3 linked regions of the Macaca fascicularis genome follow. The protein of the gene in region 1 interacts with the protein of each later gene in a pairwise test. Links are inferred from orthologs where the notes say so. Each region holds a gene or a part of one and is shown in the gene's direction. Other genes may lie near its edges.

Region 1 (4,033 bases):
TCTTGAACTCTGACTGCAGGTGACCCCCACCCCCCACCACCTCGGCCTCCCAAAGTGCTGGGATTACTGGTGTGAGCCATTACTCCTGGCCTATTTTCAGCATTTAAAATCCTCAGGCCTGACCAGGCACGGTGGCTCAAGCCTGTAATCCCAGCACTTTGGGAGGTCAAGACAGGTGGATCACGAGGTCAGGAGATCGAGACCATCTTGGCTAACACGGTGAAACCCCGTCTCTACTAAAAATACAAAAAAACTAGCCAGGCGAGGTTGGCGGGGGCCTGTAGTCCCAGCTACTTGGGAGGCTGAGGCAGGAGAATGGCGTAAACCCGGGAGGCGGAGCTTGCAGTGAGCCGAGATCCGGCCACTGCACTCCAGCCTGGGCGACAGAGCGAGACTCTGTCTCAAAAAAAATAAATAAATAAAAAATAAAAATAAATAAAACCCTCAGGCCTGACTGGATGTAGTATGTACCACCACACCTACTGCTCAGGAGGCTGAGGCAGGAGAATTACTTGAACCCAGGAGGCAGAGCTTGCAGTGAACCAAGATCGTGCCATTGCACTCCAGCCTGGGCAAAAGAGTGAGACTCCATCTCAAAAATAGATAAATAAGTGCTGAGAATAAAATAGGAGTTGTCAGCCAGGGGTTTGTGAAGGGTGGAACTGTTTTGTCCTGCTGGTGTAGTGAGCATTCCAGAGAGGGCTTCCGAAATGCACGATAAATGGGGTAGTGCCTCATTTTGTTTGGTAAGGAAGTGGGGTGTGAGTTGTTCATTCTTTGCCAGGCACTGTCCTTGGTGCCACATACATAGAGATGACAGCACCAGGCCTGTCCTGGATGAGCTTCCCCAGCAAGAGGGGAACCTGTGATCAGGGCAGTGATAGTGGTCAACTCAGGGGCTGTGGGATCACAGAGTAGCCTGTGGGTGAAAGAAAACACTTTCTTTTTTTTTTTGAGACAGAATCTCTGTCGTCCAGGCTGGAGTGCAGTGGCATGATCTCTCAGCTCACTTCAACCTCCGCCTCCCAGGTTCAAGCGATTCTCCTGCCTCAGCCTTCCTAGTAGCTGGGATTACAGGTGCCCACCACCACTCCTGACTAATTTTTGTATTTTTAGTAGAGACAAGGTTTTACAATGTTGTTGGCCAGGCTGGTCTCGAACTCCTGACCTCAGGTGATCCGCCTGCCTCGGCCTCCCAAAGTGCTGGAATTATAAGCGTGGGTCACCGCACCCGGCTAAAGAAAACACTTTCAACACAGCTTTGGGTTATGATCGATCCCGGCTGTGCTTCTCTAATCTTGCACTGGTTTCTTAACTCGTATGGGCTTCAGTTTCTTTGGAAGGTGCGTTCTCTTTGCAGAGTTGAGGGATGTGTTTGGTAAGAGCAGAAAAAGTGCTTGTCCAGGGACTGGCGCGTTGTAGACACTCCTGGCCATTGGTTCCCCTCCTTTTAGTTCTGAGTCCACATGGTGTTTGCAATAACCCCGCAGCTTCCAACGCATGTTTACCCACATTGCCTTAGTTGATCTCTCCTAATAGCTTTGAGAGCCATAATCTCTCTTTTTCAGATGAAGAAACTAGGACCCCAGAATAATCGGCTGGTTGGTGAGGAGCCTCTGTTTGAACCTTTTAACTTCCAATCCCATATTCTTTTTTTTTTTTTGGGACGGAGTCTCGCTCTGTCGCCCAGGCTGGAGTGCAGTGGCCGGATCTCAGCTCACTGCAAGCTCTGCCTCCTGGGTTTACACCATTCTCCTGCCTCAGCCTCCCGAGTAGCTGGGACTACATTAGCTGGGACTGCAGGCGCCCACCACCTCGCTCGGCTAGTTTTTTGTATTTTTTAGTAGAGACGGGGTTTCACCATGTTAGCCAGGATGGTCTCGATCTCCTGACCTCGTGATCCACCCGCGTCGGCCTCCCAAAGTGCTGGGATTACAGGCTTGAGCCACTGTGCCCGGCCCCAATCCCATATTCTTTTATATGACAGTATATTTATCTGAAATATACTGAAATAAGTCACTTTTATTCTAAGAGTCTTCTGATGAGGCCTGTGTTTTAGAAGTCTGGGATCTGTGAAGATTTCCCACGTGCAGAATCTCCTGGCATTACCATTTGGTGTGTTAATTTTTTTTTTTTTTTTTTTTTTGAGACGGTGTCTTGCTCTGTCGCCCAGGCTAGAGTGCAGTGGCGTGATCTTGGCTCACTGCAAGCTCCGCCTCCCGGGTTCACGTCATTCTCCTGCCTCAGCCTCCCGAGTAGCTGGGACTACAGGTGCCCGCCACCGCGCCCGGCTCGTTTTTTGTATTTTTAGTAGAGACGGGGTTTCACCATGTCGGCCAGGATGGTCTCGATCTCCTGACCACATGATCCACCCGCCTGGACCTCCCAAAGTGCTGGGATTACAGGCGTGAGCCACTGTGCCCGGCCTGTTATTTTTTAAACGTGGTAGACAGAGATAATAAGGGCAAAAGATTCCTTGGAAAGATGCAGGTCTGGGAAGCCAGTAGGGGATGCTGAGCGGTCTTTTGACTGACTGGATGCTTCCTTTCTCGCCTTTTGAGGTGGTGTGGGCCCTGCAAGATCCTGGGGCCGAGGTTAGAGAAGATGGTGGCCAAGCAGCACGGGAAGGTGGTGATGGCCAAGGTGGATATTGATGACCACACAGACCTCGCCATTGAGTATGAGGTATGGATTGACAGGGGGTTGCCACAGGGCAACCAATGTAGGGGGTGTTGGGCCCAGGGGTAGCTGGTGTAGGAGATATCTTGGGGAGGACCAGGTAGCCAGTAAGCAAGGTGTCTTGGTTTTTCCAGAGCTTTTTTTTTTTTTTTTTTGAGATGGTGTCTCACTGTCACCTGGGCTAGAATGCAATGGTGTGATCTTGGCTCATTGCAGCCTCTGTCTCCCAGGTTCATGCAATTCTCCTGCCTCAACCTCCCGAGTAGCGGGGACTACAGGCGCACACCACCACACCTGGCTAATTTTTTGTATTTTTTATAGAGACAGGGTATCACCACATTGGCCAGACTGGTCTCGAACTCCTGACCTCATGATCCGCACACCCCGGCCTCCCAAAGTGCTGGAATTATAGGCATGAGCCACCGCACCTGGCCTGTTTTTCCAGCGCTTTTAGTAGCTCAGAGCACTTTGCAGAGGTGGCTGTTGATCCTCTGAGCCACCTGTCTCTTCGCCACCTTTAGGAAGTAGATAGTACGACCCGAAAACACCAGGTCATTCTCTTAGTCTCGGACATTGGTACATTCCTTTATTCATCTACCCACATGTTCAATGAGCAGTCATTTGGGAGCTCGATGTGCAAGCATTTGTGATTCTGACACAAATAAGATGAGGTCTTGTCTCCAGGCAACTCCTAGAGAACAGCAGGTAGAAAGATCATCTCCGTATAGGGTGAGGAGTGCTAAAAGAAGAGACGTATAAAGGAAGAAGGGACTGTTTGCTTGTGGGGGAGCTGGAGGGGACAGGAACGCTTCACGTTAGAGAGAACCTCTGAGTTGAGCCATGAAGGATGTCAGAGAAGGAGGAAGGGTTGAGGAAACAGCGTGCACAAAGGCATGGAGTCGCCTCACTTGGTTGGTTGGTTGGTTTGTCCATTTATTCAGCAGATATTTGAGAGTCCCTCGAGTGCCAGGTACTGTTATTTGGTGTTGAGGGTAAGGCAGTGAACAAAACTGACAAAAAGTCTCTGCCTTCAAGGAGTCTACATTCTAGTATTTTAAATCAAGGGTCGACAAACTTTATCTCTAAAGGACCAGTTGGTATTTGAGGCCTTGCAGGGCAGTGGTCTCTGCTACAACCATTCAGCCATGCTCATAGCCGAAAGCAGCCATAGACACTACACAAACAAATGGGCGTACCTGTGTTCCAATAAAACTTTATTTACAAAAGCAAGCAGTAGGCTGTATTGGGGCTGTAAACTATAGTTTGCTGACCCCTGTTTTAGATAATAAGTTCAATGGAGAAAAATACATCAGGAAAAGGGGACGGGAGTACTGAGTATGGGGCAGGGTTTCTT
Region 2 (4,033 bases), on another chromosome or scaffold:
CTGTTAATCAGTAGAATTCTTTGATACCCCGAAGGTACATATGAAAATTTTCTCTTAGATCCTTCTGAATTTCTCATTTAGCCAGCACTAACTGAGTACCTGCAGTATACTGATCAATATGCTAAGTAGAGAGATACAGATGAAGTATATGGCAGCCCTCACATTTAAGGAATTTATAGCTGTATTGGGTAGCCAAGATCTAATAGGCAAAAAATAAAGAATGGAAGAACTTTTTTAAAAGGCTCTTTGAAAGCAAGAAGTATGTCTTATTAGTCTGTCACTCCAGGTATCTAGTACAATAATAGGCCCTCAATAAAGATTTATTAAGCTCTCTATAAAAGTAACTGCCATTTATAGTAGACTCAGTAAGAATTTGCCAAATGAAAAAAAAATGTTCATAAGTGTATGGTAGAGTCTGTCAATGGTGAAAAACAAGTGTGCTGGATGAGCGTGGCAACACATGCCAAGGGGGTAGGACTTGTGTCTGGTGTCGAGTAGGCAGGACAGAACGTGAGAGCAGTGCTAGCAGAGGCACCATGCCAGGAATAAACATGTCTTTTGCTTAGTGTTGTGAAGGCAGCTGTCTGAGTAAAGCACAGTATTTCTGTTGAGACATTCTGAGACACAGTTAACTAGGTACATTGGAACATGGGAACAATATATGGGAGGTTAGGAAAAGTTCAAGGTTAGTCCGCATTAGAATTCCTTTGTAGATTGTTTAGAAAGACAAAAGTAAGAACAGTTGATCTAACCCCACAGTATTAATGATAGATTTCCAGAGAAGAATTCAAACGAGCTGGTTTTATCCTTTTTAAGCCACTGAATAATGTGAAGAAAACTGAACCCTTGAAATATGCCCATGTGCACATAAATGCATAATAAGCATTTTATTTAAAGTTTCAGAGGGTTCATGGAGTCTTCCCACCTTTTGAAGCTCATCCTTGGTCCCCTAGTTAAGAACCCTTGATCCAGAAGCAAAAAAAATCCAGTTAAAGGGCTGTTGTAATTAACTGAAGAGAATCTAAATTAAAAACAGAAGCAAGGAAGTTAGGGTAAAAGATAGCATATTCCAATTGTGCGCATTTCAAAGGAAGAACGTTGGTGACAGTTTAAATATGAAGAAGCCCTACAGGATTTTGATGTTGAGGAGCTTAAGTGAATGAATGATGATATTATCTGTAACAGGGGAAGATGGGAAGGGATAGCATAGAATTGCTGATCTTTCATGTCTACATTGACCCATAATTTGGTATACTTGCTGTTTGTCATTTACTCTTTGCCATCTTCCAGAAAGCAAAGAAGTAGGTCTGGAGGAGATGGCCATTGTATAGATTTTCCTTTGTACAATTATATTTATAAAGCTGAGTCAGGCACTAGCAATCAAGTATATTTGCAGGTATGTTAAATTTGCTATGAAACTTGAAATTCATGGGTTTTCTTTTCAGGTTTTAGAGCAATCTTGGCTGAACCTAAAAATAAAGCATCTGAATCCTCTGAACAAGATTATTATAGTAATATGAGGCAAGAGGCTTTGGGACATGAACCTAGAGTAAATATGTTTCCATTTGGTAAGTAGGCGACCTTTACTTTTAATAGTATAATGTAGTATATGCGATCTAACTTGGGTTTTAAAAAATACTCTGTTATCGGGCATCTATAAATTTCACCTAGTGAATAAAAATCTTAAATGTAGGGTTTTTTAATTCCTAAAAAGTGGATTATGACTCCTAAAGTTCTTAATATTTAATACTTATTTTGTTTAACTGATTTCTAATTATAGTTTTCTCTGTTTAATTACGCATTCCTCATATTAGAAACTATTGCCACTGCCACATATCACCGCCACTTTTTTGGGTGAGCTTCTGCCGCTGTACAGCTGACCAAAAACTTAAAAAGACATATGTAGATATCCTCTCAGTATGAGTCCTAAAATTTTGTCCCAGAACTACTGCTGCTTTAAAATTAGGGCTACAGAAAAGAGAGGAATGGTAAAAGTAGAAGCTCTAATAGAAAAAGGGGAAAATGGGTAATGAAAGTAAGGCCTGTGAATGTTATTTGACATAAACTTTCAGGTAAAATACTTGCCATATTTTTCAGTTTTGCATACTAAACTTATTTCTGTGAAATTAGACTATGCATTTCTTCGTATATTTCTGCATTAAAGGTAGGGGAGTGGGGAGAGTTGTCTGTTTTCTTGTCATTAGTCTCATCAGTAGTTCTGATGACCAGAAGCCTATTACAAAATACAGTGCTTTTATTCAGTACAATGGACTCTTTGTATTCTAGTATTTAAAATGTTAAGTGAATTGTTGGCTGTGTAGAAATCTAAAGATTTACTTTTTTTTATATTGTTGGAGAACAACAATCTGAATTTTCAAGTTTTGACAAGAATGACAGCCGAGGCCAGGAAGCAATCTCCAAACGCTTGTCAGTTGTATCAAGAGTTCCTTTCACTGAAGAACAGCTTTTCAGCATTTTTGATATAGTACCAGGATTGGAATATTGTGAAGTTCAACGAGATCCTTATTCAAATTATGGTAAAATAATATTCACATTTTTATATATATATATATATATATACACACACACACACACACACACAGAGTTTTGTTAAAATGGCTTTTCTCCAGTGGCACTTTTATGTCAGATATTGCTCATGTGAGAGGAATTTTATCTCTCCTTTTTCTCTACTTTAGACTTCAAAATATGATGATACCTTAATAAACAAAGCCCTGGAAATATATCTTCTTTTTACAAAATTATTCACTGTAAAATATATTTTAACTCCCACAAAATGTAACATTCTGTATTCCAGTTGCACAACAAAAAATGCCTCAGGATAGAGCCTCTGTCTCTGCGTACTCTTTTGGTTAATGCTAGACAAAGTTATGAAACTCACAAAGGTTCCTCCTCATTCATCCCTACATCTCTTTCTCTTAAATTTATATCCCTCCTTCTGTTCATTCCAAGCATCTAAATGCCCTACTTCTCTCTCTGCTTCTTCCAATTCTCAGTGGAAGCAAGACTCCAATATCAGCCATTTGAACTTATTAATTAGTTAATTGATTACACCCATTATCTAGCATTAGCTAACCCATCTTTGTGTTTTAAGCATTTGATTTTATTAAGGCTCTTTGTTAATGGAGGCATTGTGGCATAATGGGAAAGTTTGGCCTTCCATTTTGCATCAGAATCAAGTACAAATCCCAGCAGTGGCATGTAGCTTTGAGACCTTGGCAATTTGCTTATCCCCTCTGAGCCTCTCTTTGCTCATATGTAAAATGGGATCATTGACACTTTCTTTGCCAGGGTTGGGTAAGAATTAGAGATAATATATGTAAAATAACCTAATGCAAGTTCTGGCATGTAATAGGGCATTCAGTAAATCTAAGGTGTTTTTTTTTCTTTGTTAGTGAGGGGTGGTAGAGAAATCATCCTTGGTTGGCATTTCTTCCAGTTTTGTAAGGATACCTGATTTAGTCCTTTTAGAGTGACATGGCTGTTGACACAGAGGTAGTGATGTGAGTTTGGTCATGTGGACCAACACGACTAAGGTAACTCCACCCTTCATACAGACACCCCTACATACTCACTAGTACCTGACCCAGCACTAGTCTTTTTGTAGAGCTGTCTTTGAGCCATCCCCAACCTTAACCCGATCATATGTTGTCATTCTCCGTTCTAAGACTTCTAGGTACACATTTTTGTGTTCTCTGGCACATTTGTTATATGCATGTGAAGTTGTGTTTATTTTGTTTTGTTCCCTCCCTTTTATCTGGTATGTTGAAATGTATTTGTTCCTGTACCTCCTGTTATGTTTCTCTGGTTGGATGTGTCTGAAACATACGTGTCATTGGAACATCTTTTTATTAAGAGAGGTGTCATCATATAGTTCGAATCTCATTTGAATTAACTTTATATGGTCATTTGATTTCTGCATTTTATTTTAATTCCATTAAAATATTGGATGCTTGGGTTTCCAGATGAACATAAATTATAAGTGTTTCCCCAGTGGTCTGTATTATAAATGTGA
Region 3 (3,673 bases), on another chromosome or scaffold:
CACTGTGGATGTACGGATTTGTTCTGGGTTCTTTATTCTACTGGTCTATGTGTCTGTTTTTATGCCAGTACCATGCTGTTTGGGTTACTTTAGCTCTACAGTATAATTTGACATCAGATGATGTGATTCCTCCAGTTTTGTTCTTTTTGCTCAGGATAGCTTTGGCTATTCTGAGTCTTTTGTAATTCCATATAAATTTTAGGATTTTTTTTCCTATTTTTGTGAAGAATGTCATTGGTATTTTGATAGGGATTATGTTGACTTTTTGTTTTTCTTACACAGACTTTCTCATATTTTCTTTTCCCTTTCTTTTTCCTCCCAGCCAGCCCTACTAAAGGGCTTAACAGTACGCTTGACAATGGCTTCAGCAGCACGCTTGACAATGATGTGGGAGGAGGTCACGTGCCCTATCTGCCTGGACCCCTTCGTGGAGCCTGTGAGCATCGAGTGTGGCCACAGCTTCTGCCAGGAATGCATCTCTCAGGTTGGGAAAGATGGGGGCAGCGTCTGTCCTGTGTGCCGGCAGCACTTTCTGCTCAGGAATCTCCGCCCCAATCGACAACTAGCCAACATGGTGGACAACCTTAGAGAAATCAGCCAGGAAGCCAGAGAGGGTGCACAGGAGGAACAGTGTGCAGTGCATGGAGAGAGACTTCACCTGTTCTGTGAGAAAGATGGGAAGGCCCTTTGCTGGGTGTGTGCCCAATCTCGGAAACACCGTGACCACACCATGGTCCCTCTTGAGGAGGCTGCACAGGAGTACCAGGTGAGGCCTTAGAGACACAAACAGGAGGAAAGAAGATGGGCCCTGGTGAGTGCTTTGCTTTCAGAGCAGGGAATGGGAGAGGACCACCTCTGGATTGGAGGGGTTAGAGAAAGGAGGAGTTTACCTCTCTCCATGTCTAATGTAGAAGGAGAATTATAAGCTAAACCCAACCTCATTCTCCAGGCGTAGGCGATATGCATGAGAAAATGCTGCAAGGATTACCCCACCCTATTACTTGGTTTGCATGGGGACTAATATGCTGTCTTTCTCTGCAGGAGAAGCTCCAGGTGGCATTAGGGGAACTGAGAAGAAAGCAGGAGTTGGCTGAGAAGTTGGAAGTGGAAATTGCAATGAAGAGAGCAGACTGGAAGGCAAGAATGACATCCTGAAGGGGATCTTAGGCTAGAAGGTTGGGCAGGGTCCAGGGTCCTCAACTCACAGCCTTAACTGTAGCTGTGCCTGTCTGAGCTGTGATAGAGTTGGTCCGTCTCACTCTCCAGAAAGCACCTGCTCTCTAGGTTTACAGATAGATGGGAATAAAAATGATGCAGGTTCAAAGGGGAGCTCCCCATCAGGCCTGAAGATCAAGAATCCTGGAAGAAGGTGCTGAGAGGATCTAGCTATACCCTAAAGTTTTGAGCTCCTCTGAGTCTAGTCTCAGAGGTGTGACGGCATCAGCACCTGGATGTCTGAGACAAATATCCTAGGAGAAACCCAACTGCTAGCTAAGCCTTTCAGGAAATGACAAGGCTGTGAGAAATAGACTTAAGGAAACCATCTGACCAGGTGGTTACTTGACCATGACCAGATCTCTGGTCCCAAATATAATGAAGAATCCATGTTTGTTCTGCACTGATCATTTCCAAGGAGACGTGGAGCATGTTGGGGATGAGAGGGGAGAGGAAGGAGCCCATCCCCAGTAGATCCCAGAAAAGAAACATTTGGGATTGAGGTAGGGTGTGAGTTGGGTTGTGGTGACAAAACAGACCCTCATGTCATCGAGTGACCTTCCAGTTACTAACAGGAGATGAAAAGCAAAGAATGTCCCCAAGCCCCCTTTCCCAGGACTTGGAGGTGGTGGTGTCAGCCTGGCTTTGTGAGGTTGTTGGAGGTGGGAACAGGTGTTTTTTTTCTCAGTAACTCACTGAGACAGGAAGACACAGGGGCACATTTGAGTGGTGACTGGGTTTGGAAGAGAGGTTGGAAAAAGTCCCCAATGCCGTATATCCATGTAGCTGTGGTTGTAGGCCAGCTACAATGTGCCCTCACCAAGTCCATTCCCCTCACTGTCCCGGAAACTTCACCTACCTCCCAAGCAAAATTGTGTGTGTGTGTGTGTGCACATGCTTGTGTGTGTGTGCGTGTGTTTTCCCAGACAACACCAGAGTGGAGTCTTTGGGGAATAGGAATAGGTACCAATACCTCCATTCCCAAAGTTTGGGAGCTTTTCATAAAAACCACCTCTCTCTTTCCCTTGACACTAAAGAAAACGGTGGAGACACAGAAATGTAGGATTCACGCAGAGTTTGTGCAGCAAAAAAACTTCCTGGTTGAAGAAGAACAGAGGCAGCTGCAGGAGCTGGAGAAGGATGAGAGGGAGCAGCTGAGAATCCTAGGGGAGAAAGAGGCCGAACTGGCCCAACAGAGCCAGGCCCTGCAGGAGCTCATCTCAGAGCTAGAGAGAAGGCGCCAGGGCTCAGCACTGGAACTGCTGCAGGTGAGACAGGGAGGGGTTCCCTTCTACTATTCCGGGAATAACTGAAAAAGACCAGAGCTATCTGGAACTGCCATTCGAATAAATGGACACCTGGTCCCTGGAATGTTCTTAAATAAAGTAGAATTCAAACCCACGAATGGTTTGCATTCAAGGCACAAAGTAAAGATGAAAATAAGTATAGGACCTTTTTAAAAATCAATGTATGTTGCACTTAGAATCATCTTGCATCCACCAATGATATGTTTGCCTCACTGTACGAAATGATGGACTAGATCGTCTCACAAGTCCCTTCTGTTCTAACATTCTACAGTTCTTTCTTCACCCCTGTTCACTGTGACTCAGCGTGGTCATGAGCCATTGCTTTCTGGTGTGTGCAGAAAACCTAATTGTATTGGGTTGACTTGACAGGCTCTCTTCTGCCCAAACCAGGCTTTCTTATTTATTTATTTATTTATTTATTATTTATTTATTTATTTATTTTGAGATGGAGTTTCACTCTTGTTGCCCGGGCTGGAGTACAATGGCGCGGTCTTGCCTCACTGCAACCTCCACCTCCCGGGTTCAAGCGATTCTCCTGCCTCAGCCTTACATCACCACACCTGGCTAATTTTGCATCCCTAGTAGAGATGGGGTTTCTCCATGTTGGTCAGGCTGGTCTTGAACTCCCAACCTCAGACTCCCACCTCAGCCTCCCAAAGTGCTGGGATTACAGGTGTGAGCCACCATGCCTGGCCATGAACCAGGCTTTCTAACATACTTTTAACTGAGTCTAGGATCCTGCTAGCTCCCATGTAATGGCTCCCAATCCCTATAACAAAAATATTTTCAGTGATTTGGTTTCACATACAGGAAGGGGCAACATTAAGTACCCAAGGGAACTTTAACTAACCAACCTTTCCTTCCCAAGCAATGCTAGCCCACAAATGGAACAGAGCAGTTTCTAGACACCTGAACTTGGCCATTCTCTGCCTGTGATTGGGCTTAAGCCAAGCTGGGCTATGTGCCCTCTCTGCCCTCCTTTCTTTCTCCCCTGGGGGAAAAAAATCTGGTCTTTGAGTCAGAGTCCTCAAACTGATAATCCTTCCCCAGCTGTAGGTCACATCCATGCTGGGCTTCTGGTTACCTCACAAGCATCCACACATCCTTTCTGCTTCAAGCTGGTCAGAATCATCTTTGGGGCTTTGGACCAG

What was found. The genes of interacting proteins can lie anywhere in the genome.
Region 2: the proteins of TXN2 (region 1) and RBM45 interact in binary tests that used the Homo sapiens proteins (3 or more experiments, as listed by UniProt). The two-hybrid records come from large-scale screens. The link is inferred for Macaca fascicularis from reciprocal best matches to the Homo sapiens genes TXN2 and RBM45.
Region 3: the proteins of TXN2 (region 1) and TRIM21 interact in binary tests that used the Homo sapiens proteins (3 or more experiments, as listed by UniProt). The two-hybrid records come from large-scale screens. The link is inferred for Macaca fascicularis from reciprocal best matches to the Homo sapiens genes TXN2 and TRIM21.

The regions. Positions count from the first base shown.
Region 1 is NC_088384.1:15,191,274-15,195,306, forward strand, and holds part of TXN2 (thioredoxin, mitochondrial), read left to right. Parts: intron 1-2,561; coding exon 2,562-2,685; intron 2,686-4,033.
Region 2 is NC_088386.1:73,679,282-73,683,314, forward strand, and holds part of RBM45 (RNA-binding protein 45), read left to right. Parts: intron 1-1,445; coding exon 1,446-1,565; coding exon of another isoform or gene 1,566-1,568; intron 1,569-2,348; coding exon 2,349-2,537; intron 2,538-4,033. UniProt on the Homo sapiens protein: RNA-binding protein with binding specificity for poly(C). May play an important role in neural development.
Region 3 is NC_088388.1:70,006,865-70,010,537, forward strand, and holds part of TRIM21 (E3 ubiquitin-protein ligase TRIM21), read left to right. Parts: intron 1-322; exon of another isoform or gene 323-326; 5' UTR 327-358; coding exon 359-766; intron 767-1,041; coding exon 1,042-1,137; intron 1,138-2,252; coding exon 2,253-2,483; intron 2,484-3,673. UniProt on the Homo sapiens protein: E3 ubiquitin-protein ligase whose activity is dependent on E2 enzymes, UBE2D1, UBE2D2, UBE2E1 and UBE2E2.